Danio rerio: one gene and its partner. The protein of the gene in region 2 purifies or fractionates together with the protein of the main gene of each other region. This does not show direct contact. Links are inferred from orthologs where the notes say so. Each region holds a gene or a part of one and is shown on either strand. Other genes may lie near its edges.

The links. Proteins that work in one complex are often made in the same cells at the same time.
Region 1: the proteins of pdhx (region 2) and pdhb purify together in Homo sapiens (affinity purification with mass spectrometry; 4 studies listed by BioGRID and IntAct, counting the BioPlex papers as one, with this or other methods). This does not show direct contact. The link is inferred for Danio rerio from reciprocal best matches to the Homo sapiens genes PDHX and PDHB.

What each region holds. Positions count from the first base shown.
Region 1 is NC_133197.1:9,846,491-9,850,707, reverse strand, and holds the start of pdhb (pyruvate dehydrogenase E1 component subunit beta, mitochondrial), read right to left. Parts: upstream 2,801-4,217; 5' UTR 2,789-2,800; coding exon 2,753-2,788; intron 2,655-2,752; coding exon 2,595-2,654; intron 1-2,594. UniProt on the Homo sapiens protein: The pyruvate dehydrogenase complex catalyzes the overall conversion of pyruvate to acetyl-CoA and CO(2), and thereby links the glycolytic pathway to the tricarboxylic cycle.
Region 2 is NC_133200.1:40,153,115-40,155,365, forward strand, and holds part of pdhx (pyruvate dehydrogenase protein X component, mitochondrial), read right to left. Parts: intron 2,036-2,251; coding exon 1,877-2,035; intron 1,425-1,876; coding exon 1,360-1,424; exon of another isoform or gene 1,268-1,359; intron 1,207-1,267; exon of another isoform or gene 1,123-1,206; intron 1,022-1,122; exon of another isoform or gene 918-1,021; intron 1-917.

The DNA of each region.
Region 1 (4,217 bases), on a different chromosome or scaffold from region 2:
CTAAGATGATTTGGCAGATCCTGGATCTTTTAATCTTGATAACTGATCTCTCGCTAATTTGGTTCTTCAAACAAGTTCGCGAATCAGATTAGAATGTCTGGATGAACTGATCTGAGATCGCTGCATGTGTTATGAAGGACAGATCTATCGATCCTCGAAATCATGATCAGCAATGCAACGATTGGCTGACGGCACAGCAGCGTAATGACATCATCTGATTAATATTCAATTATCCATGTGAGCAAAATTACATCAAATTAGCAGTAAACGGCTTGTTAAATATGACATGCAATAACCTTCCACATTAGTTGTGAGCTGCAGGCTTTACACTTTCATGTGTAAAGAGTATTCATCATGTTTTTCAATGCAAATCAATGTATTTAGTTCTACATTTAGAAAAGATTTCCTTTATTATAGTAGCTGTTTTTTTAATCTGTGTAAAGAATAACTGGTTGTTTACAAAAGCATTTTGATATTGGTAAAGGCATCTGCAACTTTTGTGAAGCATCAAATCACTGGCATATTAACTGTCAAAACATGTTTATGACTGCATAAATGTATTATTGCTTTAAAAAAGTCACATACTGTGCATTTCTATTATACACAATTTGTACTAAAGTGATCTAAAAAGTTCATATCAATAAGTTTTCTCTTTGCACCACCAGGTGGCAGTTTTTGTACTTTCATTTCGAGGGTGCAGATTGCATACGTTTTATTAATATGTATAACTTTATTTATTTTATTAATGACTATAACTTTATATATATAGTTAAAAAATATGTACCATTTTCCCAAGTGTACATAACTATACTGTAAGAAAATATCAGAATTCAGAACATACTTTCTGTATTATCTTTGCTTGAACTGAGCCAATCTTATCCTGTTTATATGAATTGAACCTGCTCCCGATCAGGTTTAAGCTAGCAGAACTGTTGCTATGACAACAACTCTCGGATCAGCTTTGAAGAACGAAACGATCCTGGATCGTGTTAAATCGTCAATATCCAAATCCAGCTAACTGAGTAATCCACGTACGAAGAACAGACCCCTGGTAACAACCAGTACAGTGCAAATATGGCTGCAACATCAAACTATGAGGCTAAAAGAAAGCGTCTGTTTCTAAAGTCTTGGAAGCAGACAATCACATGGGTACAATATTAAGAATCTCAACGAAAAAAAAAAATATTTGTCTTCAGTTTAGCAATCTTATAAAAATAATTTAGAATTGCAATAAAATACCAGCACATTTTCAATACTGCTCTTTTGTTTGCATAAAATCTTGAATTTTGCTCATTATATTTTATTAACATTTTTAAAATGTTTAAATTCTACATTTCACAGATATTATTTTGCCACTTAAAAATTTTTTTTTTTTATTTAAAATATGTGGCTTAGAAATAGCAATTAACTTTTTTATTTTTTGGTGGGGGCAGTGAAAACTTTGGCAGGGCAAGTAAAAATCTCAACCTCTGGCCCGATTGGCCCAGTAGAAAAAATCCTTAGCGTTGAACCCTGCATAGTATTTTTCAAAAAGGTTGTTCACTGAAACAGGATATGCGTTGAAAATACCATAGTATTACCATGGTATGTAAATAAACATACCCTTAAACTACCATGGTGCAAATGGAAAAAAAATATTGCATGGTAATTTTAGCAAACCGTTTCCATGATAACGATAAACACAGAAATAATGTATTTTCATGGATAATAAATATTTGGATTTGGAGTATATGTGAACAAATTTGATAATACAACAAAACAAGGTCAAAGTTTAAAATGCCATGGTAAACATAAAAAAACATGGTGTGTGTATATATAAAGTACATCATAGCCATGGTAAATTACCAAGCAATGTTCAATGAAGCACGGTAAATGGCCAAAACAAACAATAAAGATGTTGCACTCTCAGCATACAAACAACATATGACCTTACCATAGTGCACAAAGTGAAATTACATTGTATATTAACAAAGAAAGTCTTGCTAAATGTCAAAAATACTAAGAAAATACTATGGTACTTATAAAGTGTAAAATATAGCTTTACATTGGTAAATGCAAAAGCATTGTGGCATTACAACTGTGTATTACCAAAGAAAGAATGTTCACTGAAACATAGTAAATATCTCAGTCAATGTGCTGTTTCTTTTTTCTTTTGAAACATAAAAGAAGATATTTTGAAAAATGTTAAAACCAGCATTTTTAAAGTTTTTTTCCTGTAATACTTTCTTTTGTGTTCAACGTTTGAAACCCCTTTGTGGGGAGTTAAAAAGTAAGTTTTCATTTTTGGATAACCCATTTTAGCTTTAAAATAACATAATATACAAACACTAACTTACGTCCTTACCACTGTCTAGTAACGTTATTATTAATATAGTATCAATTATCACATAGTAATTACTCAAAACACCGAGGTATAGTCATTGTGTACACACCCAAAAACATGCTGTTACTGTTAGTATCGTCGAGAGCAGTTAATACTTAATATGTTGTCTAAAACATACTAATATGATACACATTTAAGCTCATTTTTCAGATGTGTTATTGTTTTAAATGATGCAGCATCTGCTGAAGGTGAGAGTCGCAGCATCACTGACCTGCACCGCCGCCGGAGGAGTCCTGTGAAACTCCCGCCGCAAAACCGCTGAAACGGCACTCTGAGACACAAATACACCGCCAACATCAGTCTAAACACTCTCATCTAACAAACACCACCGCAATATGCAGATAACAGCTCATATTCACACATAAATACCTTCCCCGAGCGCAGGAAACACCTCAGAGACGCCATGTTTCACTGTCCTCTGTACGGAGGCGGGCATGTCATCCCAGCGGCCGCGGCCAATCAGAGAGCGCGTTGTAAAAGCAGAACAGGAAACGCGAGGAAAGCGGCCAATCAGAGTGGCGGATTCATGACTGAAGCGGAAGTTGCCGTCAGACTGTCACTCCGCGTCCAAGGGCAAGAGAAGAATCTTTTTATAGAAACCAAAAATCTGTGATTTTTAAATCAGTTGCTTCATTGTTGAATGTAAACTGGGCACTTTTGAAATATGGTGCGGGGACATGTTGAAAAAGTCTTAAACAAGTTGCAATATGCTTTAAAATAGGACCAATAAGGTCATTTTATGATTTGTAAGTATTAAAAGACATTAAACTAGCTATTAATATAGTTATATAGTTCATATTAACAATTATATACAGTTAAGTTCTTATAATTTCTAATATACACAGTTTAATTATAACATTTTTCTACACTGCTGGGGAAAACAGCTTAAACCAGGCCAGGCTGATTTTCTGATTTTAGCTGGTCGACCAGCCTGGTTTTTGAGGGGTTTTGGCCATTTCCAGGCTGGTTTCCATGATGTAAATACAGTCAAATTAAAGCTGTACAGTTAAAGCACATCTTGTTCGTTTCATTTTAAATCGTGTTGGTGTATAGAGCCAAAAATGTGAGAATTGTGTAGATGTCCTAATATTTATGGACCTAACTGTATGTGTATATATATATATATATATATATATATATATATATATATATATATATATATATATATATATATATATATATATATATATATACACATTGAAACTTTTGTTTATATTTTCTAGAACGACTGACCAGTTAAAGGAGCAGAAAACATCTTAAACATGAGTATCTGTAAAACACGTTTATTTTCCTCTTTGAAAGTACAAAACATGTTTAGAACATGTTTTGTACTTTCAAAGAGGAAAATAAACGTGTTATGGATGTTTACAGTATACAAGATACTTTGTAGCAATTCTGTGAATTAAACTGCACAACCCAAAATAAATAATGATAATCAAAAGGACATGTTTGCTGTCTATAAAACAAAAAAATATTGGTTTTATTATGTTAAGTATTTTCACATTTATGAGGAAAAAGTGTCGCTATGGATGTGACAGATGTGAATTTGCCACTTGTGTGACTTTGGTAAATCAAATAGAATAGTTGGAAAACATTGACAAGCAGTGTTGAGTATTTCTAAAGTACTGTAAAATACTTGCTTACACAAAAAACCCTGAAACGGATTCCGTATTTTGGTGAAAGCTTAATTTTCTTTCATGGAAAGGTTGACATTTGCACATAATTGCTCATCTACAGTTGAAGTCAGAATTATTAGCCCTCTTCAAACTTTTTTTCTTCGTTTAAAAATATTTTAAAATGATGTTTGACAGGAAATTTTCACAGTATGTCTGAT
Region 2 (2,251 bases):
AAACTAAATCAAACATGGAGAGTCTCAAAACCCCTTTTGTATGAGGAACTACTTTCTTCCGCCTTGGATTCAAATCATAAGCTGACAGTGAAACAGCTGAGCAAGCATCTTTTACACTTCAGATGTGGAGTGTCTGCTTTCTGCTGGCTGTATGTGGGCGGAGTAATACACAAACCGTAAAGAGGCTGTAAGAGTTCTGATATTGCAGAATATCGCACGGCTTTCAGCCAATCAGATTTGAGAACCAGACAGAACTGTTGTGTGTGTGTGTGTGTGTGTGTATATATATATATATATATATATATATATATATATATATGTATATATATATATATATATATATATATTAACAGTTAATTTGTCTGTATTACTATATGTTGTAATTATAATTGCCAGCACTTTATGATTTAAAAACAATATTTTACTTACTATAAATTACTCCAGTGTTTAATGTGGGAAATCATTAATAAAAAAGTTATTAGAAATAAATGCTATTCAATCACTGGAGTACAAGATTAATATAGTGTTCTACATTCATTAAAAGATTTGCATGACATATAAAGATCTATTATATACATATTAACTGGCTCTTTTCCCTTCATTATAATGAATCCTTCATATAAATGAAACCTGTCCAATGTAGATGGTGTATATCTCTGAAAACAGCAGTCAGCAAATAAATATCTGCTATACTGACTCTGACATATAATAATGACGACTGATGGAAAACTCTTCACACTGTTATATTGAATGGCGATCAGAAACATTGATCCCCATTGCCATATTTGTGAAATAGTAAACACTATTGTTTATTGTGTACGATATTTATTAACAATATACATATATAAATATATTGATGATGATGTCTGTCATTAATAACATTAACATCAGCTCGTAACCATCTATGGTTTGCATAGATGGTGTGTGCCTGAAACGTGTGTGGCTCTGCCTGAGTGTTTGCTGCACTGGCAGAGTTTGACCAGCAGGTGGAGCCAGCAGCTGCTCTGAACACTTTGGAACGGTAAATCATTGATGAAGTGATCAGTTTCATTGATCAAAGCTGTAATTAAAGGAAACAAAAATCATCCTGTCATCATCTACACTCTGTTCACTTCTCCACAGCTGTTTGAGTTGCTTTTGTTGATGTTGAAGACAGAAGAAGATATTTTGAAGAATGTTGGAGACCTGTAACCATCGACTTCTACAGTAAGTGTTTTTCTCACTACAGACATCAGTAGATTCAGCTTCCCTATAATATCTGCTTCAGTGTTCAACAGAGGAGACACACTGCTGACGGTCCAGAAGCTCCTGAGTAAGTGAATGCTGATATGTGGTGAACGACACCGTGCAGACGCTCACCTGAAGGATCCTCCCTGATACTCCTCTGGCAGGAGTTTACCATCCCGAGCCTTCTGTGCCAGAGCCTACACACACACACACACACACACACACACACACACACACAGGAGGTCAGCACACAGCAATACGACTGTCTGAGGTATTGGGCGTGGCTAACACACTTAACCACGCCCCTCCAGCTGTCAGTTTTGTCATCGCTATGACAACAGACAGAATGGTGAGGAGGAGGAGTCTGTTAGGCTGTAATAACTCTCCCCAAACCCTTCTGCCATCTCTCTGAATGACACGCCTACTTTACTACAGCCAATCAGCTCGCAGTAGAACAAACAAGCCACGCCCACTGTTTACCGATTAAATATCGTGTTTCTATGGTAACAGCAGCACAATAAGGGTAAAACCGCAGCTCCCGGCTCATGCAGACTATAGGATTCTGACGTAAAGCAGATGCTGGACCTCCTCACTCCTCTGTGTGTGTTGTTGAGAGTGAGGAGCACATGTGTTCGGGCCTGTTCTTCACCTTAGCGGTGCTGGAGATCTCCTGCAGGCCTTTATCCGCCGCGTCTCTGATGATGGGCGTGATCAGGCCTCGATCCGTCGCCACCGCCATCGAGATGTGGATGAAGCCCAGCGGCTGCGGCCCGTCAGCAGACCACGACACGTTCACTGCAGGCAGCTCCTGCACACACACACACACACACACACACACACTGTTTATTAGAGATGACCCATACACATCAAGTCCCGCCTCCAAAACAAGCTCCTCCCTCAAACTCAGGCAGTAATCAGCCAGCACACGGCTCTGATCATCTCCTCAACAGACTATAACCACACAGCTCATCCTGCCTGAGGAGCTCTAGTGTGGAGCACACATGCAGTATAGATCAGAGTAGTA